Linked DNA regions of Rattus norvegicus. The protein of the gene in region 3 interacts with the protein of the main gene of each other region in a biochemical or structural test. Links are inferred from orthologs where the notes say so. Each region holds a gene or a part of one and is shown on either strand. Other genes may lie near its edges.

Region 1 (3,500 bases), on a different chromosome or scaffold from region 3:
GGAGAGTTTCGGGGAGCATAACAAAGCAGGAAGCTGCTGGCCCTAGCTGCCGGCGAGAGAAAGAATAATGTTGTAAATGTTTGCTGAAGGGTCAGGCAAACAATACGGGCAGAAGGCAGTACCCATGGTCTCGGTTTGGTGTGCTGTGGTAGTTTCTGTTGGAACTGGTTAGGGTCAGGGAGTCCACAGCTGAGTTCTAGTCCATTCCCCTGATTGGGCATTGGGACCTTAGGTCACTTTACTACATTAAGGCCCAGTGTCATCTATGAAACAGTTCCTGCCTCTTAGGGTTATGGTAAAGCTTAAAAACCAAGTAGCAGAGGTAACATTTTAAGCACAGTACCTGGCATACCAAGAGCATTCAGGAAAAATGTTGTCACTGTTACTATCGTGTTAAATAGGAGAATCCAACTGAAGGGTGACATTTACATTTAAAAGAAGATAGTCGTGAGCCAAACCTGGTGGCACCTGGCTGTAGCTCTACCATAGGGAAGGTAGAGGCAGTTGGGTCAGGAATTCAAGGTCGTCCTCCCATTACACAGTATTCTTGAGGCCACCCTGCACTGTTTGGGAAAAAAAAATGTCATACTGCTGGGCATGGAAGCACACTGTAATCTCAACATTTAGGAAGCTGAGGTAGGAAGAATGAGACTAGGTAGTGGGATCTTGTCTCAAGACAAAACAAAGGACGAGTTGAATTCTGTCTTCCCATTCTGGACACCTTAGCGGTATTCTCTTGAACTTACTTACACTCTACTGTGTTAAAGATGTATTTATCCTATTTCGTGTATTCTAGTATTTTGCCTGCATCTGTGTGACTGCACTATGGGCTTGCCTGATTGATGCCCGTGGTGGCCATAAGAAGGGTAGGATATGCTTGAACTGAAGTTACAAAAGATTGTAAGCCTCTGTGTGGGTGCCAAAAACTGGACCCAGATCCTCTGGAAGAGCAGTGAGTTCTCTGTAGTCCGTGCTTACATTCTGACCTAGCTGTTGGGGTTGGGGTCAGCACAGGGCTGAGGCTGAACCTGACACTTGGATTGGCTCCATTCTCTGAGCATACGTCCTCAGGATTCTCACTACGATGTTCGCTTGACACCTTCCTTCCTTCTTTTTTTTTTTTTTTTTGGTTCTTTTTTTTCTGGAGCTGGGGACCGAACCCAGGGCCTTGCGCTTCCTAGGCAAGCGCTCTACCACTGAGCTAAATCCCCAGCCCCGCCTTCCTTCTTGACGCTCGGCTTTACAGATAGGAATCGTGGTGTCTAACCCTTTGACATGCTTTCCAAGCAAGAAGCACGAGAGGTTGACTCAGTCTTTTTAGGTGAGCAATTACCGACCGAATTTTATCCTTTGTGTTAGAGCAATCCAGAAGAAGAGGCTGAGTTGAAAAAGCTGAAGGACTTGGAGGTATCTGTGGAGAAGACAGCTAACCACCTGGAAGAGTTGAATAAAGAGCTTTCTGACATCCAGCAGGTGACTTCCCTAGTCTAGGGATAGAGCGCTATGGTATTGTTGCCTGGCTGGCTTTTTAAAAACCAGCTTACTTCATTTTTATTATGTATTATGTGTGTGTCTGCGTCTGAGTCTGTGTGGGAGTATGTGCATGTGTCGCTGATGGCCAGGGCCACCAGAGATCTCAGATTCCCCCAGAGCCGGAGTTATCTGAGGTTGTGAGCCTCTGTGTGGATGCTGCGATCAGAACTCAGGTAAGCAGGTAGAGCAGCTCACATTCCTAATCACCGAACTGTCTCTCCAGACCAGTTTGGGGTTTAAATTCTGAAGTTAATGTGGGAGGCTTGCGCAAACGTTTTAAATGTGTATATAGATAGATTCAAACCGAGGCCTTTCACCCCTAAACTGTGCTCTCACTGTGCTTCTTGTGTGCAGGTATGAACGTGTCACCCAGAGATGCCATTACTCTGAAAAGTATTTCTCATCCTATTTAATATGTTGTACAGTTGGTAAATTATTCTTTTACTGATGAAAAATTAACATTTTCCTCTGTCGTTGAAAATAGCCATATTTTACTGCATGTGAATACATCATGATTTACTTAACCTAGTCTCTGTTCTCTGTTTTACCTAATTTTTTCCCTTACATGTGCTGCTGCTTTGCGTGCCCTTGGACACAAGTGTTTTTTGAGTAGTTGTGATTGTTTTGGATAGAATTGAGTTTGGATTTCTGAGTAATGTTTGAACTTCTTGCTGTGTGTTGTCAAATATGCATTTGTCACTCCGGTTCGATAGCCATCTTCAGAAATTCCTGCCTTTCTACTCTGCTGCCAGCTAACAGAGCATTAGGCAAAGAGATGCGAATGAACAGAGGACGGGTAATGACAATAAGTGCTGCTTGAACCAGGTGTGGTTTTGCACACCTGTATCCCAGCTCTCCTCAGATGGAGAGATGGGGATCAGGAGTTCAAGGGCAGCATTGACAATGCGGTGAGTTGGAGACTGGCTTATACTACATGAGATCCTGTCTCAAAGCAAAGCTAAAACAACAGTGTCATTCTCTGTTATCTGTCTACCTGTGCTCCCTCATCTCCGAGAACAGTGAGACATGACAAGATTAAGTAACTCGCTTAAGCTCTTAAGCCAAAGCTGGGGGTATGTTCAGAGTCCCAGCATCATGTAGAATGTAGAAATTGGACTGATGGCACACTGTATAATCCCAGTGCTGGGAGGCAAAGACCGGAGGATTGGATCCCTGCCACTCACTGCCCAAGCAGTCTAGCCAAATTGGGCAAGTTCCAGATTCAGTAAAAGATTCTGTCTCAACAAAAATTAGACAGAGTCTTAGTCAGTGTCCTATTGCTGTAAAGAGACACCACGGCCACAGCAACTCTTAAAAGAAGAAAGCATTTGACTGGGGCTGGCTTACAGTGCAGAGGTCTCGTCTGTTGTCATCATGTCAGGAGGCATGGTGTCATGCAAGCAGACGTGTTGCTGGAGAGGTAGCTGAGAGCTCTACATTTCAATCCACGGGCAGCAGTTAGAGAGAGAGACTGGGCCTGGCTTGAGCTTTTGAAACCACAAAGGCAACCACCAGTGACACACTCCCTCCCACAAGGCTACACCTCCTGATTCTTGTCAAGTAGCACTAATGACTAAGCCTAATGTCTGAGCATCCAAATATATGGGGGTCATTTTTATTCAAACCACCACACAGTGTTTGACAGACACCTCGTGCCAACCTTCGATGCCCCATGCCCAGCATTCCAGTCTATTCTCTTAATGTCTGCTCCGTATGTGCATGTATGCACTCATGTTGAAGGCTGCACCGTAGTTCCTCAGGAGGCATTCAGAGCCCCAGTGGACTGCATGAAAAAGAGCAGTTTGCACCCCGGTAGGATTCTTAGACTGGCCAAGGCTAGCATTTCTAGTTTTCCCAAGGGAAGAAGGTCTGAGATTCAGCCTGGCTTCTTAGGTCGGAGGTGAACTCTGGTTGCTTCACCTGTCTATTGGCATGGTTTCCCAGGAGTCCCAAACACTTGCAATAGT
Region 2 (3,500 bases), on a different chromosome or scaffold from region 3:
TCTTTCTTTGTTAAAAACATTTTTTTTTAAAATTTAAGCCTATTGAAGAGATGCGACATATAATCATAGATATTCTAACAACGAAGAATCAAGAAAAAGCCAATTTGGGTAAGTTTTCTTCAGGCGAATTGTGATTTTTACTAAAATGTACCATTTCAGATTCCCTTTCATTTAACTTTTTTTTTTTAAACATAAGGTCTTCTCCCTGTGCTTCTGTTGACCTGCTTCTGAAGTGTAATAAATGTCTATCTTGCATAGACATTTTAAGCTGGATATGAAAGCTCACACCTATAACCCTAGCAATTTCTGAGGCTAAGATAGGGGGATGGTTAAGGCTGGCCTTGAACATAGAGACCCTGTCTCGAAAGAGAAGAATTGGCATCCTAGCTCTTGGCTGCTGAAGCAGGAGGATCATGGGTTCAGGACAGCCTAGGTGATGTAGAGTGAGACGCTGTCTCAAAAAAGATATTTAAGGAATCTAGTTCAAAATCCATATCTACTACTGAGTATGAAAGTTTCTTTCCGGGACTTAGATTCCTGTCTTAAAAGTGGGCCACAGCACAACAGCTTTTCTCTCTTCCTTTTTTTCTTCTTTAATAAATATTTTTTTAAGATTTATTTTATGTATATGCGTACACTGTAGCTGTCTTCAGACACACCAGAAGAGGCCATCAGATCCCATTACAGATGGTTGTGAGCCACCAGGTGGTTGCTGGGAATTGAACTCAGGACCTCTGGAAGAGCAGTTGGCGCTCTTAACCTCTGAGCCACCTCTCTTGTCATGTCTTAAAGAGAGAAATAAAAATAAAACTTGTGAGCAGGGTGGCATGGTGGTACACACCTTTAGTCCAAGCACAAGGGAGGCAGGGAGGGTGGGGAGGTGGAGGGTACACAGGACAACACGAGACATATACACACACACACAGACACACACAGACACACACAGACACACACATACACACATACACACACACACACAGACACACACACACACACACACACAGACAGAGGCTGGTGGCTCTCTGAGTTCTGGCCCAGCCAGAGCCACATAGTGAGACCCTGCCTCCAAAAAAACAAATAAATAGATTTTCTGAAGTCTTATAATTCTTACTGGCTCTAGAGGTGTCATTTACATTGAATTCAGTTTCTCATTTTTCCCCTTAATAGAATCTTTGTATTATTATTATTATTTTTTTTTATTAACTTGAGTATTTCTTATTTACATTTCGAGTGTTATTCCCTTTCCCGGTTTCCAGGCAAACATCCCCCTCCCCCCTCCCCTTCTTTATGGGTGTTCCCCTCCCCATCCTCCCCACCTTGCCGCCCTCCCCCCAACAATCTAGTTCACTGGGGGTTCTGTCTTAACAGGACCCAGGGCTTCCCCTTCCACTGGTGCTCTTACTAGGATATTCATTGCTACCTATGAGGTCAGAGTCCAGGGTCAGTCCATGTATAGTCTTTAGGTAGTGGCTTAGTCCCTGGAAGCTCTAGTTGCTTGGCATTGTTGTTCATATGGGGTCTCGAGCCCCTTCAAGCTCTTCCAGTTCTTTCTCTGAGAATCTTTGTATTTTTAAGCAGATAAATTATTAGTCTGTGATAGAAAAAAAGCTACCATAAAGCTTTGATGTTCTAAAATTTATAATATTCAAATATAAAATTGGCTTTACTGAACAAAGTGAAATCTAAGTGACAAGAAATAACGTGGAAAATACAAGACATATTAACTGAGAAATTACTGATAATAATAGATACCGTGGGTCTCTCAGGTACGCCAAGCTCCATGCAGAGCTGAGCACATGATGTTTTTCCTAAGCCTGACCCTTTTCTTTTCAATAAGTATTGTTCATGGCAGAATCTTGCAGGTGATTTTTTTAATATAGACTTATTTATTGCTTTATTGAGTCTTTTGTCTGCATGTGTATATGTGCGCCAAGTGCTTGCTAGATCGACGTTCTTCCATGCTTCTTTAGAAGATTATCTTTTCAGTCTTATTAAATACTTATTTTCAAGACCCATTGTAAATATTCCTTTTGAATACTTCCCTAACTGTCTCCCTGTACCATAAGCATAATTCCTTGTTTTAGTTAGGGTGTCTATTGCTGTGTAAAACACCTTGATCCTTTGGGGAGGAAAAGGTTTATTTCGGCTCACAGTTCTGCATCCCAGTCCATCACTGAGGGAAGTCAGGGCAGGAGCTCAAACAGGGAAGGAGCTGTTACAGAGACCATGGAGGAGTGCTGCTTACTGGTTTGCTCTTCCTGGTTTGCTTAGCCCTCTTTCTTATATCATCCAGGACCCACCCAGCAGTGGCACCACTCCCTATGGGATGTGCCCAACCACATCAATCCTTAATTAAGAAATGCCCCACAGACTCGCCACAGACTTACCGATATGGTTGGGGGCATTTTCTCAGCTGAGGTTCCCTCTTCCCAAGTGACTCTAGCCTGTGTCAACTTGACATAAAACTGACCTAGTTCATTCCTTTCTATGGGTTCCAGCAACCCTTTGTTCTTACTTGACTTACACTGTTTTATCTCACTTATAGTTAATTGTTCTTCACCTGTGTCTTTCATGGCATAGTCTTAAGAACTGGAATGGTTCCATTCTTAAATTTGTATCTCTGCACACGGGACATTAGACGTTTGTTAAGTTGTTGGCAGAAGTGTGTACATGGGAAATACAATGACTAGGCAGTGTCATTTGGTTCTGTCATTTTGACATTTTGTTTAAATAGTTTAAATCTTTAATTTTTCTATAGGAGAAAATATTGAGGAGGCTCATGCAACCAAGGAACATATCCAAGAAGTAAATGTTGAAACTAATCTCGGGTCAGGAAAACCAGAAGAGGAGAATGAACATCATAGAAAAGTTGAGGTTTACGAAGACAATCAGGACAGCAAAACAGAAGATCCAACCAATGATCTAACAACCCCAGACTCAAAAGCCGAGGCAGGTTGCCTGATTCGATATAATGTATCTTCTACACCACGCTTGCAAAGGTAAATGTTTAAAATGGAATGTCACCTGTGTTCATGCTCCAGTGATAATTTTGTTTAAAAAAAAATGTTAATGCTAAGGGTCAATCTCTGAATATGATGACTCCTGGGTAATTGCATCACCCTGGGCCTGTGGCAGGCGGATTGCTGTGGATGGAAGTCTAATCCAGACTACCCTGTTTCAAACAGGGTGAGAACAGGCCATCGGGACACCTGACCTTTTCGTTACTACATCAGCTTTGTTTTTTCTACATGGTGTCACTTTGTAAACGCCAGCCTTGGTTTCCCGCCACATGCATCTGTGCAACCCACAGCTCTTTCTAGGCATTTTTATGTAAATTTTTGAGATTTATTTTGGTGCGTGTGGGTGTGCCTGTATGTGTTCCTTTGCACCACATGAGTGCAGTGCCCACAGGAGCCAGAAATACTTGTGGAGTTTCCCTGGGACGGAGTAAACAGTTCGAGCTGCTGTGTGGGGGCAAGGGTTCAAACCTGGGTCTTTCC
Region 3 (3,500 bases):
TTGTACAAAACCAGGTCAGCATGCTGTCTATGCCTTGGAGGCCAAAATGCTGCCTCATGGAAATGACTCCTGGCTATGGCTAACTGCAGCCTCGGTTTCTCCGCCAGCTCTGAGCTCATGCAGTGACAGAGAGACCATTTACACAGCCTTCCTGGCAGTCCAGTTCCTGTTGTTGGATTCTCACGTGGGAGAAGTTTCCCATCCTCGTTGGTGGCCTCTAACCTTTGACCTACATGAGTTCTGGGACGCCTCCTCCTCCATATGGGCCTTGCACAGAGGGTGGGAGCCATGATGTCAAAGTGGGGGCCCTCCTGCAACCAGATGTCTTCCAACTGTGGGAAGCCTAAGATAACTAACACAGCAGGCCACGATCTCCTCAGATACCCTGCTCTGTTAGCTTCACATAGAAGCCCCCAGACGTCTACCTTTGTGCCGCTGGGCTGGATTCCCTGGTCAGGATTGTTAATTCCTAAGACACGCCGGAGCCTGGATGTTTCCCATAGCCATGACTTTTCCAGATCCATTACAAGTTGTACATTTCATTGTAATTTCCTTGCCTCTGTGGTCACTCAAATGCCCCTTTCTGTGTCTTATTGTTCAAGTAGGTTGAGTCTGTGGAGTTCAACGTCTGGGACATCGGGGGCCCTGCCAGCATGGCCACAGTCAATCAGTGCTTCTTCACAGATAAGGCCCTATATGTGGTGGTCTGGAACCTGGCCCTGGGGGAAGAAGCTGTGGCCAACCTCCAGTTCTGGCTTCTCAACATTGAGGTAAGGAGCCACCCTCTAGAGTTCGGGTCCCAGCCTCCCACAGTTCTGTGGTCTGAAGTGCTGTGCGGACTACAGAGAAAAGGGACCACACAAGGAAAAGACTCTATTCTTGTTGAAGGGCTCCCCCCAGAGGGCCCAATGTCTTCCAACTGTGGGGAGCCCCACGACTTGGTTCTTGGTTGATTTTCACATCAAGAACCAGAGGCCTCCTGGGCCTGAGGGCCCAGTGTGCTTGCTATACCCTTATTTACCTTAAACCCTATAACCTTGTGTGTGCAAGGCAGGCAGTACTCCCTCTCCGTGTAAAGGTGCCATTGGCCTGACACAGGCTTCTCCCTCAGTAGACAGAAGGACCAGGTCTCCCTCTCCATGGGCTAAACACATTGCATGAAGCAGATCAGTTCATAAGAGTCCGTGCCCCTCAGTTCATAATGGACCCATGATCTTAGAGTCCACAGGAGGGTGGCTGAGCATGGACCACTAACATCCAAGGTTGGCACACTTGCACGTTGAGGAAACTGTTCTCCACTCTTTATTCAGAGCAAAGATACAGGGCTTAGCTGTGGGGTTCTGTTTCAGGCCAAGGCCCCAAACGCCGTTGTGCTGGTGGTTGGGACACATCTGGACCTTATCGAAGCTAAATTCCGAGTAGAGAGGATCGCAACACTGCGTGCCTACGTGCTGGCCCTCTGCCGCTCACCATCGGGGTCCAGAGCTACAGGATTCCCAGACATCACTTTCAAACACTTGCAGTGAGTATCGTCTACTCTCTCTCTTGCCACTACAAGACGGGATCACTAAGATCCCATCCTGCCTGGGATCTGTCACGTGTATGAGACAGGCTCCTCTGGACAGAGGGTGGCACCGTGAGCAGGGGATGACCCATTGGATGATTAGAGAGAGACAGGGTCTCCAGACTCCATAACTGTCTGTCCTTCCTTCCTTCCTTCTTTCCTTCCTTCTTTCCTTCCTTCTTTCCTTCCTTCCTTCCTTCCTTCTTTCCTTCCTTCTTTCCTTCCTTCCTTCCTTCCTTCCTTCCTGGGCTCTCTCCTCCCATCAGGGCCAGTGCCTAGAGCACACAGCTCCCCTGGAACGAAGACACGTGAATGTGAGCACTGTCCACAGTACTTTCAGATCAAGGACCAACATCCCAGTCCTTGTGTTGGCTCTAACTAGATCTGAGACAGCTGCTACGTCTGAAGCAGCTGCAGAGTGTGAGGCAGGGCGGTCTGGTGCTGAGGAGAATGGCTACCCTGGCTGTGTTGCTCAGTTAACCTCTTGTCAGTGGCCACCACCTTGCCAGGGTTGTGACGCTCAGACCATGCATCTGAGGCTCAGTAACAGAAGTGAGAATCCCTGAGCAGACTAAATGGGTGTTGCTTCAGCTACTCTTGGATTCCCTCACTCTGGGTGTGATGGCATGGGTGCTGGGACACAGGTCAGCCTGACTCGAATGCAACATCAGGATTTGGGGGCGGGGGGACCCCTGGTATGCCCCAAGAAAGACTTGGAAGGGTCTTCAATAGCAGGAGTGCTGGCTGGTTCATAGTCAAAGCCTCAACAAGCATATATCTTTCCAAGCTAACACCCTTGGGAAGCCCAGTACCTCTGGGCCTTACTCTTCCTCTGTGAATTCAGTCTATTGGGAAGACAGACCAAACTGGCATGCTATAGGACATCCAGCATGGGGCTGTGCACAGAGAAAGGCCCCCAAAGCCTTCCTATTCTCTCTTTTAATGACTTCTCGAGGTTTGTCACCATTTGGGACAAATCTCCAGGGAAACTGGGATGTTATGCGCCCTGAAGCAAAGAGGTGGCATGTCGATTGAGCCCCAGTGTTTGCACATACAGCGAGATCTCCTGCAAGAATCTGGAAGGGCAGGAGGGGCTGAGGCAACTGATCTTCCATGTCACGTGCAACATGAAGGACGTGGGCAGCACTATCGGCTGTCAAAAACTCGCTGGCAGGCTGGTGAGTGTCCCCGCACGCAGTCGGGTCAGAGGGTCCTGCTTCCCACTACTGGGATCCACGCTTCTGTCCCCTTCCTTGCTGTAAGGCACATGTCTGTGTTTAAGGTCAGTAGTTCCAGGTGGGAGCAGGGAAGGATCAGCGGCTCTCACAATAGACCTGGCATGACTAGATCTGCTGTGACCTTGTACGTTTGTCCCCCACCTGAGGTGGGGCAAAGCCATGCTCTGAGACGTGTTTGCAGTTCTAATGCCGTAAAGACATGTCTTCTGGTCCTAAGACCATAGAGTGGGATGATAGTGGGGAGTTTTGGTGCAGGCGACACATACTCCTTACACCTGAGAGGCCCATCTTTGCCCCACCTGCACCCAGATCCCCAGGAGCTACATAAGCCTACAGGAGGCTGTGCTGGCTGAACAACAGCGCCGCAGCCTGGAAGATCAAGTACAGTACCTGACGGACAGGCAGCTGGAGCAGCTGGTGGAGCAGACGCCTGGCAATGACATCAAAGACTATGAGGACCTGCAGTCTGGTAGGCCAGGAGTGGGTACCCAGGGAGCATAGGTATAGGGGACCGGAGGCTGGCAGAAGGTGGGGCGAGACACCTGGGAGGCTCTTGGTCACCACATCTCCACCTGGGCCCTCAGCACAGCAGGCTAGCAGGTTTACATGACAGCGCTCAACACCTCCTGGTGTCTGCCTGCCTACCTGCTGCCTCCCTCCACTTCTCCCTGCTGCCTCCCCTCCACCTGCCCCTTTTC
Region 4 (3,500 bases), on a different chromosome or scaffold from region 3:
GTTGTTGTTGCTTTTGCCATGTTTGCCAGCTTGTAACCGATGATCATTTCCATAATTGGTGTAATACAGAAACTGTGTTCAAATATTGGGAACCTGTTCTTTATTATTCTGAAAACGCTGCACTAAGAAAATTGGCCAAATATGCAAATTTCTGTCACTGTGTGAAGCACTATGCTTTCTTCAAAGCCTTCCCTGTAATTCAGAGCTCCTCAGCGCCTAGGACTCACATTTCGATCTCGGATTCCTTTAGAGTTAGCCCAGCCCAGACACGTGTGTTCAGCTGTCTGTCTCGTATCTATTCGTCACATGCTAATTGTTGAAGGGTCGATGAACAGAGTCGCTTCCAATCATTCCTGCTCTTGGCCAACACTGATTTCATTTTCCGCACCTTCGCTGTCTGTCTGTTTTTCCATTAGCATAGTTGGCCTACTTTCTTCTTGGTGTTGTATAAATGCTTTTCCCCATTGGCCTCGACGAGCTCGTCCTGATAGCCTTCCATCTGAGCTTGAGGACCCCGCTCAGCCCCGTTCTCGGGGAGGCAAAGGCAGGTTTCTCTTTACACTGATGTAAGGTCACTGATTTGCCCCATGTCAGCCAGCCAGCCACTCCTCGGAATAAGCACTGCACAGGGGCTGGTTGTACGTCACAGAGCTGCACCGCGCTCCAGACAACTCCTTCAGCTCTCAGCAAGTCTGCACAAGGAGAGCTGACCACAGGAAGGCAGGAGAAGCCCAGTGCAGAAAGAACAAATGGGCACTTCTCACACCGCCTGATTGTCAGCAGATTGGCATTTGCAGGCCATGTGTATCACCACACTAACCACTCTCCACTCTGTAAAAGCTGACCTAACTGAACTGCCATGCTAAAGCCCAGTCATTACTCACGAGTCTAATTTTCTTTATGAAAAAACATTAGCTGAATTTTTAATTTTTTGGTATTTTCTCACGAGTACTCCATTTGCATCATTCCCGTTCCTCCATCTCCGCCTCCAGCTCCTCCTGTGTACTCACACATCCTTTCATGGCCTCTCCTTTAATTATTGTACACGCATACATGCATATGAGTGCTTACTAAGTCTGTTTAGTGTTGCTTACATGAGCTGAACTTTAAGGAAATTGAGTTGTAACCTCAAGCAAGTCACCTTTGAATTCTTTAGTTCTAACATATAATTTTGGTATTGTAATTATATCACCTCTGATTCCTCCCTTTGCTTTTAATCCTCTTCCTCCTAATGGACAATCTGTGAACCTCTCTGTAGATGCTGAGGACCTGTTCACTTCCAGACCTTTCCAAGCTCTTCAGAACCCTAATGGATGTTCCCACTGTGGGAGACGTTCATCAAGACAGTCTTGAAATAGAGGAGCTTGAGGATGAACATATTAAAGAAGGGCCCTCGGATTGCGAGGACATGTAAGTATGGGACCACTAACAAACGCCAGTATCACTTGGACATCTGAATTGTAGTTTTCTTCAAAGTCCAGAGAGCGCGGCCTACAGTTGGCTTTTCATCACCCTTCAAGCTCTTACAACTTTGTTCAAGTATAATCAACCTTCCACTGTGTCATTTGAGGCACATAAAATTAGTTTATATTTATGCTCACTGTCTTTTTTCCCATTAACATCCATCTAGTAAACTGATGTGACTATAGTAAGTAATTACTAAACAGTGATTAAATCATTTTCACAGGATAATGACTGTTGAACAGTGAAATCTCCATTATACCGGGACTGAGATGGGAAATAGGGAAGTCTTAAGCACTCTGCATTTTATCAGGAAAAAAGATGCCTAAAAGATTAATATCTACCTTGTAATGTTTAATTTTAGGATGTATCCATGGTGATTTTGTGTGGTATATGTGGGAGTGGAGTAAGGTAACTCTGTGTGTGTGTGTGTGTGTTTTGCATGTAACTTTGTTGCATACAGAAAATTCCTTTCTTGTGATTCATGGGAAATAGAGAACTCAGGAAGGAAATAGAACAACATTTCTGTAAGTTATAGGAAATGTTGGCCAAGCCTTAGATAGGAATCCTTCTTAACCTCTGTAATTTTAGCCAACCACCTCAGACAAGTATGACAACCTGGGAGGAATAAAGTCAAAATATCCTGTAATGAGGTGCTAGAAGCAGCACAGCACAGGAGGAGTCTATCCTGCAGGGTGCAGGGGTGCAGGGTGCAGGGGTGTAGCTCAGTGTAGAGTAGTAGCCTGCAGGAGGTTGCAGTTGCAATCAGGATTGCTGCCTTTGACACGTTACTTCTCAAGTTCCTAACGACGCTCCACTGTCTCATCAGCCCTCTTAGAGGCCTGTGGGTGGGTGGTTTGGAGGAAGGTCCCTCTAGCCCTGTGTTAGTCAGCTCATGGGGTGAACACAGCATGCAGCACTTCATTGGTGACAAAGTGTTGGCTGTGGGGTTTTTCCTCGGGCGTAAGTAAAATGGACACTGTAAGTGAGCCAGCTGTAACTAACAAAATTATTCTAAGTGCTGTTCTATATCGACTGGCCTGTCTTGGAAAACCCACTTGGATCGGTACCTTTCTCCAGATTTTACAACATGAAAGCCAACTGAAAACTAAGCTTAGGGGCTGGAGAGATGGCTCAGTGGTTAAGAGCCTGGACTGCTCTTCCAGAGGTCCTGAGTTCAATTCCCAGCAACCACATGGTGGCTCACAACCATCTGTAAAGAGATCTGATGCCCTCTTCTGGTGTGTCTGAGGACAGCTACAGTGTACTTATATATAATAAATGAATTAAAAACAAAAAAACAAAAAAACTAAGCTTAGGGCCAGATACCTAACACGGATATTTGAGTGCTGATTTCACACATTAGATCTCCTCACATTTTTCTTAAGCAGCAGTCAGGCCAGCCTCAGGAATTTAACTCCCATTTGTACGTCTTGGCCATGTTTTTCTCTAGCTGACAAGTGGGTTATCCACAGGTCAACATTTAGTCTTCATAGCAAAGGTTCCATGATGCATTAGGCTTCTCATTAAGCACCAAGTTTTGTTCTGATCACATCTGTAGCGTCCACTAAGTCAAATTGCTATAAGTACAAAATAAAGGTATTTCTGTGCAAATGATCATTTTCTTTGTCCATTAATGTAAATTGTTTTCAAGGTCTCACAAAGTATTATATTTGGGAGTTAACTGTTAACTTTGGGAAGGGTCCTCTCCAACCCTGTACCTTACTCAGCATTGCATTCCTAGTCCAGGGACTCGTGCCTAGGGACCTCATCCCTTGTCCTCACACATCAGGTAATTCCTCAGCTTCATGTTTGTCCTCAGAGACGAACCTGAAGTTTTAGAACTGAATTTCTAGTTATTGTACAAGTGCCCAAAGACAGAGGTTGAAGATGCTTGATAAGGTCACTTGTATATTTTCATGTCTCTAATGAGTTTCATTTGGATAAAACTTAAATAGCATAAAACTGCTTAGTAAACTCGTATGCTATATACATATAGGATTTTACCTATAAATTATTCCACGTTTTAAATCTCAGGA
Region 5 (4,110 bases), on a different chromosome or scaffold from region 3:
GGGTCCTCGGCAACAAATCTAAGCCGTAGAAGGAACTTCAAAGCTGTAGTTATAATAAGTGTGCTGGGAGACACAGCGTAGCAAATGAAAATTTCCACAGCAGGCACATTTTGCAATTCTTAATTTTCTCTGTTTCTCTCTTCCCCTCCCTCATTCCCTCTCTCTCTCTCTTTTTTAAAGATGTATTCATTTATTATATATAAGTACACTGTAGCTGTCTTCAGACACACCAGAAGAGGGCATCGGATCTCTTTACAGATGGTTGTGAGCCACCATGTGGTTGCTGGGAATTGAACTCAGGACCTCTGGAAGAGCAGTCAGTGCTCTTAACCTCTGAGCCGTCTCTCCAGCCCCTCATTCCCTCTCTTAATTATTGCTTAATCGAAGCTCTCCAGTCTCTATCACTAGCCTAGTGGCAGGTGAAGTGTTAGTAGCCACTGATTAATGTTTTCATCTGACGGATAGACTCAAAACCTAGGCCTTCCTTAAACAGAACATCCTGTCGCAAAGAAGTGCAACTGATTTAATAAAAAAAAGATTTATTTATTTTTTATATATGGGAATACACTGTCACTGTCTTCAGACACATCAGAAGAGGGTATGGATCTCATTACAGATGGTTGTGAGCCACCTTGTGGTTGCTGGTAATTGAACTCAGGACCTCTGGAAGAGCAGTTAGTGCTCTTAACTGCTGGGCCATCTCCAGCCCCGGAACTGATTTTTAAAAAGGCTTCACGTCCTTTCCTGCTGCAGACAAGCACTGTTGATCTCTGACATCACGTGCATATTTACAAACAATGCGAAGTCTACACAAGTGAGATGATGAAGTCGGCCACCGCTTTAAACCGAACACTAGTCTTAACGAAGCGGAAGTGAGAAAACACACTTCAAGAGCTGTGTTGATACAAATGGTATTTAACTTGGTAGAATAAACAAGATTCGCACTCTCCACAGCGGATCCGCTACAAGGATCATTAGCCTGCCGGAGAGACGCGGGCGTCGTTGGGGTGCTCAGCGGCTTCCCTCCCTGCCAGCGCCCCGGCGTCCCGCTTACCCGGCTGGACGCAGCATCCCTGCGCTCCGTAGCGCGCTCACGGGCCAGCCGAACGCCGCCGCCGGAGAAGGACCGGCAGAGCAGCCGGCGAAGAGCTTTGCTTCCGGGCCGCAAAGCCGCCATGGCCCGCGCGTACGGCAGGATCGCGACAGTGGAAAGGTTGGCTTTACGGCAGCGTCGCAAAGCCTGGGGCGACGCGCGGCGAGGCCGACCCTGCGCATTCCCTGAGAGGGACGACCGGTTGCGGGGCCCGCACGGACGAGGAGGCGAGTTTTCTCCGGGCTCGGAGCTGAGGGGCCCGCTGTGCGAGGACGGCGACAACGCTGCGGAAGTGGAGGTGGCGGAGCGCGATGGCGCGTGCGGCACAGGTGAGCGCTGCGCGGGGGCGCGACCTCCGAGCTTCCGGAGTCGGGCACTTGGCCACCCTCGCTGCGCAGGCCAGCGCCCGCCGCGCGCCCATTGTGAGGTCAGGTGGCGGCGCGTCCGGCCCGGCCGAGACCCGGGAGCGGCCGCCGCGGCCAGTAGCTGCCGCCGCCTCCGCCGGCCCCTTCACCGGCTGCCCGGGTCAGACCTAGCCGGGAAGGGCGAGGGGGATGACGCTGGGGGCTCCGCTCCGGTGCCGCTCCCCGTGAAGGGCCGATCTCCCACCTCGCCGCCCTCCGCGGCAGCCAAGACCGCCGCCACCCAGACCTCTCGGAGTAAAGCGCTGCGAAGGCCGGGCTTGGACCCTCCCCAGGGACTGAGTTCTGTGGCCTGCCCGCCAGAAGTGAGCTGTTTGACAGAAACCTGAGAGCGTGGGAAATGCTCTAAGCACACTTACGGGGAGGCGAGTGACCGAGTTAATCGCAGTCGTCAGGTTTTTGCGGCGGGTACTTGAAGTCGAGGGCGAGGATTTGGACGTTTTCTTAGTTCCACTTTCTGAAAAGTAGCAAGTTTAGCTGTCTGTCCGAATGCTGCTCCTGTCAGTTTGGAAGAGCTACTTCCACAAGGGCACCCTGCTGGTTCCAAAGACTAGCTTAGGTTGGTGGGATTTCAGGAGATTGTGTTGCTGCTAACCCGGTGGGTTGACCTAGTATATGAAAGTGTATGCAGCTCGCTTTCATGGTTTAAGACAGAATTCATAGGCCTAGACATCCACCCAGGCTGGACCATGAGTACCTTCCTGTCTGTTCTTAAAATCCCTGCCGTGTTCCCTTATTTTCTTTTTGCTTTTGATTCTTGGTGTCACCAAGTAGTCCTTGGCGATCTTGAATTCGTAATTCTCTTTCCTCTGTCTCCCTGGTGCTAGGATGGTAGGCATACACCAGCTCACCAGCTTGGTTGGTTTGTTTTTTGTACCTGTTCAAAGAGGCAGTTGACATGTCACATCTTCCTTTTCCTCAAGTGTCTTTTAAACCTTTGACAAAACCCTCCGTGTGTTTGCTGCATGCCCAGCTGCCAGAGTTTGACCTGTCCACCCGCCATCGTTTCTGTGGTGTCCTTTGGTTTTGTTTTTTGAGGCAAGGCTTCTCATTGTCCTGGAGCCCCTCAGTTAGGCTGGCTGGCTGGCCAGTGAATCCCAGAGCTCCATCCGTCTTTGCCTCCCCGGCCCTGGGAATTTAACTGGGCACCGTCTTGCCTGGCCTTTCTGTTTTATTTTATGTGTGTTGGTGTTTCATTTGCCTGCATGGATGTCTGTGCACCATATGCGTGCCTGTAGAGTACAGAAAGGAAATCAGATCCCCTGGAACTGGAGTTACCATTAGTGGTGGTCATGAGTTGTCATATGGGTGCTGGTAATCAAACCCAGGTCCTCTAGAAAGCATTCAAGTCTCTTAACCACTGAGCCCTCTCTCCAGCCCCTTCCCTGGCTTTTTTTTGCACGTGTTCTGGAGTTGCAACCTGGACACTTGACTAAGAACTCTCTCCACAGCCCCAGTGAGCCCTTTTAAAAAGTGTACTAAAAAGGAGTGTTTGGATTGGGTTATTACCCTAAGAGACTAATAAGTTATCGTTCTTGCTATCTTTCAGTGCTTGTGAAACTGAACACACAAGTATGGATATGGGAAACCAACACCCTTCTATTAGTAGGCTTCAGGAGATCCAACGGGAAGTAAAGAGTATAGAGCAGCAAGTGGTTGGCTTCAGTGGCCTGTCGGATGACAAGAATTACAAGAGACTGGAGAGGATTCTGACGAAACAACTTTTTGAAATCGACTCTGTGGATACAGAAGGGAAAGGAGACATCCAGCAAGCTAGGAAGAGGGCAGCACAGGACACAGAACGCCTTCTCAAAGAGTTGGAGCAGAACGCGAACCACCCACACCGGATTGAAATCAAGAATATCTTTCAAGAAGCTCAGGCCCTTGTGAAAGAAAAGACTGTGCCCTTTTACAGTGGAAGCAACTGTGTGACTAGCGAGTTTGAGGAAGCCATCCAGGACATCATTCTGAGGCTGACACATGTTAAAACAGGAGGGAAGATCTCCTTGCGGAAAGCAAGGTACCACACACTAACCAAGATCTGTGCGGTACAAGAGATTATTGAAGACTGTGTGAGGAAACAGCCTTCCCTGCCACTTTCCGAGGATGTGCATCCTTCTGTCGCCAAGATCAATTCTGTGATGTGTGAGGTGAACAAGGCCAGAGGTACTCTGATTGCACTTCTGATGGGCGTGGACAGTTCTGAGACTTGCAGGCACTTATCATGCGTGCTGTCAGGACTGATGGCTGATTTAGATGCTCTAGATGTGTGTGGGCGTACAGAGATCAGAAATTATCGGAGGGAGGTGGTGGAAGATATCAACAAATTACTAAAATATCTAGATTTAGAAGAGGAAGCTGACAATACACATGCATTTGACCTGGGACAGAACCATTCCATTATAAAGATAGAAAATGTCCTCAAGAGGATGAGAGAAATGAAAAATGAACTTCTCCAGGCACAGAGCCCTCCTGAATTGTACCTGAGGTCCAAGACAGAGCTGCAGGGCTTGATCGGGCAGCTGGACGAAGTGAGTCTGGAGAAAAACCCCTGCATCAGAGAGGCCAGGAGAAGAGCAGTGATTGAGGTGCAGA
Region 6 (3,500 bases), on a different chromosome or scaffold from region 3:
CACTCATCCACCCACTCATCCATCCATCCATCCATCCACGCACCCACCCACCCACCCATCCACCCACCCATCTATCCACCCATTCCATCCATCTATCCATCCACCCACCTACCCAACCATCCATCTCATCCCATCCCATCCACACAATATCAGACCCCAAGGAATAACACCACCACCCTCAACATTTCTGGGTGCCCAAAGGACAAAGGTAATGATCTTTGCTCTATGAGCCCAAGAACCCAGGACATACCCAGGCCAGAGGTGCTACCAACCCTGAAGGCTGGCAGAAGACTAGGGTGCTATTGTTACTTCATAATAGCTCAACAGATGAGGCAGCCAGGAGGGCAGGCTGGGGACATGGCATCACTAAACCTTGGGTCAGGAAGGAGTGTGAGTTTGCTCCTGCACAGACATTGTCTTCCTAGGGGGAGGTGACACTTCCACTGACCAGGCAGGTGCTGTGTATTCTGTTCTTCCTACCTTGGCTTATATTCTAGAAGCCCTACTTGGCTCCGGAAGCCCCACTGCTTGACTGTCTGCTGCTTTGGGCAGAACTTAGGAGAGGAGGGCCATCTGGTTCCAGGAGACAATCTCTCCCTTTGGATTTGTGGATGGAAGCAGATGGGGACAAAGAGTGGGGTTAGAGAGGCAGGCAGAAGTGGGGAGAAATGGAAAGAGATCCCACTTTTCTCTGCACCCTCTCCCTGGTGAAGCACCCACACCACTTCCAGTGGAGCCGGGGGTTCTGGCACTACCCCTCATGATCCCTGAGGCAGGGGCTTTCAACAGGGCAAGAAAGTCACAGCTGTGAAGCCCGATGCTTGCACCAGCCTGTTTTAAAACCTGACTGGTGGCCACCAAGCAGTGGGGCAGCAGCCGGCGTCTGTGAAGTAGGAAGGGACATTCCCTCCATACCAATGGTGTGGGTTGGACTCTGAGGTGCAAGGGTGTATTTTAAGCAAGTTAGAATGCAGCATGAAGTTGGATTTCATTTACACCCAAAAGCAAAACACGCTGTTGTAGACTGGAAGAGTCTTCTGGAATATTTAGGGGCAAGCTGATCAAACTGGCTCCTGGGGCTGAGAATGGGGTTAGACTGTGAGGACCACGAGGGACTCTCATGCACAGCACATGTACTGGAATACACACCGCCATATTGCTTAGAGAAAACACTCTTGGTTAGCCAAATCCAGGGTCATCAGTGCAGCCTACAGTCAGCAGAGAGAAGGCTGATGTCTTGGCTTGCATGAGGTGTTGTTACTCTTTGGGGTCTGATATTGTGCAGCCATCTGTCTTCTCCTTTACTGAGGGACTCAAAAGTTCTGGGGATTGTGGGGTGTGGCAGAAGGCTGGAAACTGGCCTCCTTCATGGACCTCACCTGTGCGATCCTCTTCCCTTATCTACTGGGCGGAAGGAGGCATTGTGGAGCTTACGGCTGAGGTAGAAAGGGGACATCCAGGGCTGTGAAAATGGACTGTGTATAGTGTTGAGCAGAGAACTGGCCTAGCCAGATGGGGTTGGTGACAGGAGGTGTGCGTGTGCGTGTGTAAGAAATCTGATTTGACTTTCAAAACAGAAGGGTGGTGGATGGTGGAAAGAGGACTCTCCTGTCAAGAGCCATAGTTGTTCTTCCAGAAGACCCACCAGGTTCGATTCCCAGTAACCTCATGGTGGCTCACAACTGTCTGTGACTCCAGTCTCTGGGAATCCAACGCTCTCTTCTGACCTCTGTGGGCACTTGGTGCCTGGACTTAGGTGCAGGGAGACCACCCTTATACATAAAAATAAAAATAAAGTTTAAAAAATATAAAAATTTATAAAAAGAAAGGGATAGCCTCAACAGGTAGTAGACCAGCTTGGGTGACCCTGAGAGGTGAAGTGCCTCAGGGTGATCAGGGACTGAGGCATCCGTCCCTTATCTGAACCAGGGATGACAGGAGTGGAGGGACATAAGCTGAGGGCAGAGTTTTGGGGTGATACAAATGGGAATGGGAAAGGAAGCCCCGAGATCCAGGAAGGTGGCTGGAAGGGAAGGCAGAAGACATGGGAATGGGGAGCAAAGAGCCCATTCTGGCACTTTGCCAATCTGAAATCTGGCCAAGCCAAGAGCCACCCCTGCCACCCCTATGCCTGCTGGATTCATCTTAGGGTTTGTTGCGGCTCAAAGTGAGCAAGGAAGCTGATCCAAGTGTGCTAGGGGACATTAAAGCTCAGAGAGGCTGGATCACTTGCTCAAGGCCATGCAGTTGGCCTAATGAAGGCTGAACAAGCCTGGGTCACAGCCCCTTTGGTCACAGCCTTATGGGGACAACAACTGAGCTGTGGAGGTCTGCCCACTGACATCCCTTTGTCCCCCCTGCTTTCTTGCCTTGCCTTGGGGTCTTGTGACTTCTGTACTGACCTGTTGTCTGGCTCTGGTTCTCTGGTTTTTGTCTACTTCCCTCCCATCGGTCCAGCTGTCACCTCCCCTCATCTGCTCCTCACCCCCATCTTGAACCTCCCACCTCTCACCATCCATCTTACCCCCCTGCCCAGGTACAACCACTTTGACAAGGACCCACCCGAACAACATGGAGGGCCAGCAGGACATGGACTCCTGCAGAGCTGCCCGTAGCTCCTTGGACAGCTCCAAATTTAAGGACCATCCAAGACTCTCCCAGAGCCCTTTAGGCGGCCCTCTGGGCCAGAGCCACCTGGAGACCCCACCTCTGCCACCAACTCCTATCTGCAGGACTTCTCTGGCTATGAACTCACATCCTGAGGACCTGAAGAAGGGAGCATCCAGATCCAGCTCCAGAGATGCCAGGGAGACCTTCCGAGAGGCATGTCTTGGGCCGGAAGGCCAGGACTCCAGGTCCTCAGAGCAGAGGACACTGCCTCTGGGCAAGAAGGACACCGCCATTCCTGAAAACATCCGCCACAAATTTGGGAGCAAGATGGTGGACCAACTGATCTCTGAGGATCAGGTGACAAAGCTAGGGACTCGGGAGACTACACGTGAAGGAAGGTTGTCTTAGAAACGTTTAATTAGGACTCAAAACCCATTCGTACAAAGGGCCTTATACTGTTAGAAAGTGGTGTCTGTTGAGACCTGTTAGTTTCAAGGCTCTTGGGTCTGCCTTCTACCCATGTTTTACAACTAGGAAAACAGGAGCCTAGAGGTTTCCAAGCCCTGCCCAAGTCAAGAGCAGCTCTATGGTCAGAACTGATCTCATACTCAGGTTTCCTGCCCCACAGGCCCAGACTTGACCTTGTGGGTCTCAGTTTCCTTCTTGGTATGAGAAAGAAGTTGGTCTCAGTGTAAACTAAAAAGTTTGCTTTGTGGGATACCTTAGTATTAGGGCAGCAAGTTGGGGCTCTGGGGTTCATCAACCATATTAAACTGGGGAAGTCTGGCCTCTTGAAGTTCCGTTTCCTTATTTCTACAATGGTGGGGACAGGCTCGGTTTACAAAGAGCCTCTTTCTGATGTGTACACAGTAAGAGCTCAACGTGTATAG
Region 7 (3,500 bases), on a different chromosome or scaffold from region 3:
TGTTTAGTAGACTACGCTTAATTCTAGAAATTAACGGTTTCTTAAAGGTTGACATCACGGTTGGTGGCCTTTGTTTCAATGAGACACTTCTTCAGACAGGAAAATGTATGGATGTGCTGCCCCACAGGGTTACCAACATGTGAAAAGAGAGTGATATGTAAGTATAAACGCTTGTTCCTTGTATCCCGCTTGCCAACATTCTATTTCTTGACTTTACTCCCACTCCCATGCTGTTTATCTATGTGTCAGTTTCTTTCAGATTCAATAACTACTTATTGATTTAATTTTTCTCTTAAATACTTTATTTTTTAGTTTAATTAAAATATAGTAGGAATCACTATCATGGAGCCACTATAGCGTGATATTGAAATTAGGAGAAAAGTTACTTTAGGAATTGGATGTGTAAGTTAGACATGATTTGAGCCAAAGAGGCATTGAGTTGCCTGTGGGAACTGTCATGCACACAGAAGATTTCCCTGAACTGCTGTTCTGGGTTTTGTTAATGTGGATTTAACACATGTCATGTATGTCTATGTCATGTATGTCTATGTCATGTATGTCTATGTCATGTATGTCTACCTTTGTGTGCTTTGCTACTCTATTACCCTATAATGAGGCCAGTTCTCATTTTTTGACTCCTTGACAACTAAATGTTGTGAATCCATGACCTTTGTGGACAGTTTGGTCAATATCCATCGTTCTAAGCAGACAGTTTCATGGGACATTGGCACTCTGTAAATCAGGCCATGGTATGTCAACCTAAAGATATACTTTCTGTTTCAGATTGGAAGTACCTAGTAGATAAAGCCTCTGAATTAAGGTCACTCAAAAAAATTGTTATACCAAATAGTCATACACTTTATGTGAGAACATTTGATTAATAATCCTATTACTTACTCATTAGTTATCTTAAATACTTTTGAGTCCATACAATAACCATGAGTTGCCCATCCCCCTAATTATTGGGAACAACATATTATATGTGTAGAACTTACAATAATTCTATCTTCTCTATAAGACCACACCCGGAAATGGTAGGACCTCTTGTGTGGCACAGACCATTCAGGGCTATAAAAGGAAGTAAACTTTCCTGTTACCTGTTCTCCACATATGTCCTTGTGTAAACAACAGTGTCCTTGGGCCCAGCATTCCTGGTTCCAGAATTGGAGCTGCAATAAAACCATTTAGCTTCGTGTTAAAATGTTACTTGTGAGGATGATAAAAACAAAACTATATATTCCATGTATACGTAACATAAATACAATATATATAGAGAGATATATCAGAGAGCATGAAGGCCATCTTAACTATCCATGTATTGTACGTTAGTGTATGTTTCCCTAATGCTCTGTTTATTTCTATGCCATACATGTTCCCCAATAACTCTTGAGTTAAAAGTGGACTTTGACTATTGAAAACTCAGATTTAATGCTATATACTCAGACAGATCCAGTTCAAGAATGTGAATATTGTCAAGTTTGAGAAATAGTTCAATGGGTAAGAACATTTCTTCTTGCAGGGGACCCAGGTTCAGTTTCCAGCACCCACATATAGTGGTTCCCAATCACCTGTAATTCTAGTTCCAGGGGATCTGATAATTTGTGGACTCTGGACACCAGTACATATGTGGTGCATCTACATAGACTCATGTACGTAACATGCATACAAAATAAAATAAATAAATCTCTAAAAGAAGTTGTCAGCATCACTGTCACAATCATATTCTGTGTAATTGTAGACTTTAAAGCAAGGACTACATTTCATATCTGTCTACATTTGTTCCAGCAATCAATGAGCTGCTGACTCAGCACTCTGATATAAGGGTAGTTACATATAGCAAGTCCTAGGCATCAAAGATGTGGTTAGCTCACTTATAAACAAATGCAGGGACAGTGTGGTCATTGGTTTTGTAACGATCTGTACCTGAGGCTGGTTTTGGTTTCATGAGAATAGACTGATGTTCTTGGGGATTCCTTGCGCAGACTGTTAGTGACTCCGTTGGCTTGGCCATCTACCCTGCAAGAGCAAACGTGTGTGTTTGACATTCAAAATCAAGATCACTTACAGGTGTTTTTGCTCTATTAAAATGTTACTTGGCGGACAGTGTTTCTTTACCTCTACCTGGTTTCTGCACAGCTACATACAGAATACATAGTCTTTACTGGTTCCCCTGGCTCCGCAGAACTCACTGTCTTACTTTCACAAATAATCTACAGACAAAAGCCATATTATTCAATGCCATGGCAGAGTGTATTTTCATCAAGGAGAAAATCCACTGAAAATTGGTTCCTCGATTGCTTCCACAACAGCGATGCTGTTTAGAAAACTTCCCTTGTAGCACATATCTAAGGATTCATCACCTTAATGAACGACCCAAGGGTTGGTTTGAGCTGTTTCACTTCCCATTTTGCCTTAATGAAAGGTAATACTTTGAAGACTGCAGAAGTCTGACCTAGATTTCTGCTGATCTAAAAATGTCATCCTGTTTAACAGAGCACAAACACATTCAATTTCTCCCAAGGAATGGAGGAAACTCTCAATGAAAAAAATAGTGAAAATTATAGCAATTTCTCTCCTCTTCTGTGTTGGTAAGCTTCAAGAGTAAAGACATGGAAACCTACAGTTCGGATGTTCTTTAAGCCTTATTTTCAAACACACTGTCTGTGGGTGGCTTTGTGCATTTGAGTGCTTGCACCCACAGAAGCCAGAGACAGGAATCACTTGGGAGCTGGAATAATAGGCGGTTGTGAGCCTATGTGGGTGCTGGGACTTGAACTCTGGTCCTCTGAAAGAACAGTACATGCTATGAACTACTGAGCTATCTCTCCCACCTTGTCCCATATAACTTTTAAAGAGGAAGATGTATTAATGGCTCATCTCTGACACACACAAAAAATGAAACTAATGAGATAAAAATATTAGAGGAAGGTACCTTACATTTTAAACTATAAAAAAATTAGCCTTGGCTAAATATACACTAAAATTTACAAGTATGAAGCTATGAATTGAGGCTAGCATGACTTTTCTCTCCATTTTGTTCAAGACTTTACGAAGATGTGGGATGCATTGATTTTAAATGTATCAGGCCATAACATCATACATTTAAAGTTATCACATTCATGTGATTCTAAACACGTGTACACATTTCTACGTCAATGAAAGTTTGTGGGGACTTGTGCTTGTAATGAACATATCTAGAATAAGTTACTTTTCATTTGCTTATCTTTAAAGAGCATCTTGCTTTAATGGAGATGTTTGTGAGTAAATTTTCAAGTTATAGCACATAGTGAAAAGGTGGGATCAAAACTATCACAGGTTTTCTCATGGGTTTTATTAGGCTATGTCATCCCAAGAAAAATAAACTAGCTTAGAACTGTTGAAGAATAATCAAACTTAGTGCTTCCTTAGAATTCATAAGACTCTGGTTTCAAACTCTGGCAGCAGTAAGTAGGTAAATATTAATTCTACACAAATGACATGATACACACTATAAAGTTCAA

Evidence for each region.
Region 1: the proteins of Lrrk1 (region 3) and Bag1 form a complex in vitro, tested with the Homo sapiens proteins (2 studies listed by BioGRID and IntAct, with this or other methods). The link is inferred for Rattus norvegicus from reciprocal best matches to the Homo sapiens genes LRRK1 and BAG1.
Region 2: the proteins of Lrrk1 (region 3) and Ckap2 form a complex in vitro, tested with the Homo sapiens proteins (2 studies listed by BioGRID and IntAct, with this or other methods). The link is inferred for Rattus norvegicus from reciprocal best matches to the Homo sapiens genes LRRK1 and CKAP2.
Region 4: the proteins of Lrrk1 (region 3) and Nek1 form a complex in vitro, tested with the Homo sapiens proteins (2 studies listed by BioGRID and IntAct, with this or other methods). The link is inferred for Rattus norvegicus from reciprocal best matches to the Homo sapiens genes LRRK1 and NEK1.
Region 5: the proteins of Lrrk1 (region 3) and Bag5 form a complex in vitro, tested with the Homo sapiens proteins (2 studies listed by BioGRID and IntAct, with this or other methods). The link is inferred for Rattus norvegicus from reciprocal best matches to the Homo sapiens genes LRRK1 and BAG5.
Region 6: the proteins of Lrrk1 (region 3) and Cimip4 form a complex in vitro, tested with the Homo sapiens proteins (2 studies listed by BioGRID and IntAct, with this or other methods). The link is inferred for Rattus norvegicus from reciprocal best matches to the Homo sapiens genes LRRK1 and CIMIP4.
Region 7: the proteins of Lrrk1 (region 3) and Scel form a complex in vitro, tested with the Homo sapiens proteins (2 studies listed by BioGRID and IntAct, with this or other methods). The link is inferred for Rattus norvegicus from reciprocal best matches to the Homo sapiens genes LRRK1 and SCEL.

Annotation. Positions count from the first base shown.
Region 1 is NC_086023.1:60,867,060-60,870,559, reverse strand, and holds part of Bag1 (BAG family molecular chaperone regulator 1), read left to right. Parts: intron 1-1,359; coding exon 1,360-1,473; intron 1,474-3,500. UniProt on the Homo sapiens protein: Co-chaperone for HSP70 and HSC70 chaperone proteins. Acts as a nucleotide-exchange factor (NEF) promoting the release of ADP from the HSP70 and HSC70 proteins thereby triggering client/substrate protein release.
Region 2 is NC_086034.1:76,555,614-76,559,113, forward strand, and holds part of Ckap2 (cytoskeleton-associated protein 2), read left to right. Parts: intron 1-38; coding exon 39-108; intron 109-2,758; coding exon 2,759-2,999; intron 3,000-3,500. UniProt on the Homo sapiens protein: Possesses microtubule stabilizing properties. Involved in regulating aneuploidy, cell cycling, and cell death in a p53/TP53-dependent manner.
Region 3 is NC_086019.1:129,285,631-129,289,130, reverse strand, and holds part of Lrrk1 (leucine-rich repeat serine/threonine-protein kinase 1), read left to right. Parts: intron 1-602; exon of another isoform or gene 603-605; coding exon 606-770; intron 771-1,349; coding exon 1,350-1,522; intron 1,523-2,621; coding exon 2,622-2,742; intron 2,743-3,111; coding exon 3,112-3,271; intron 3,272-3,500.
Region 4 is NC_086034.1:34,017,077-34,020,576, reverse strand, and holds part of Nek1 (serine/threonine-protein kinase Nek1), read left to right. Parts: intron 1-1,258; coding exon 1,259-1,410; intron 1,411-3,500. UniProt on the Homo sapiens protein: Phosphorylates serines and threonines, but also appears to possess tyrosine kinase activity. Involved in DNA damage checkpoint control and for proper DNA damage repair.
Region 5 is NC_086024.1:136,590,479-136,594,588, reverse strand, and holds the start of Bag5 (BAG family molecular chaperone regulator 5), read left to right. Parts: upstream 1-1,310; 5' UTR 1,311-1,422; intron 1,423-1,864; exon of another isoform or gene 1,865-1,880; intron 1,881-3,064; 5' UTR 3,065-3,089; coding exon 3,090-4,110. Other genes in the region: Coa8 (cytochrome c oxidase assembly factor 8), read right to left, coding at 1,055-1,177. UniProt on the Homo sapiens protein: Co-chaperone for HSP/HSP70 proteins. It functions as a nucleotide-exchange factor promoting the release of ADP from HSP70, thereby activating HSP70-mediated protein refolding.
Region 6 is NC_086025.1:111,815,413-111,818,912, reverse strand, and holds part of Cimip4 (testis-expressed protein 33), read left to right. Parts: intron 1-377; exon of another isoform or gene 378-451; intron 452-2,536; coding exon 2,537-2,967; intron 2,968-3,500.
Region 7 is NC_086033.1:86,859,132-86,862,631, reverse strand, and holds part of Scel (sciellin), read right to left. Parts: intron 2,017-3,500; coding exon 1,924-2,016; intron 1,170-1,923; coding exon 1,098-1,169; intron 1-1,097. UniProt on the Homo sapiens protein: May function in the assembly or regulation of proteins in the cornified envelope. The LIM domain may be involved in homotypic or heterotypic associations and may function to localize sciellin to the cornified envelope.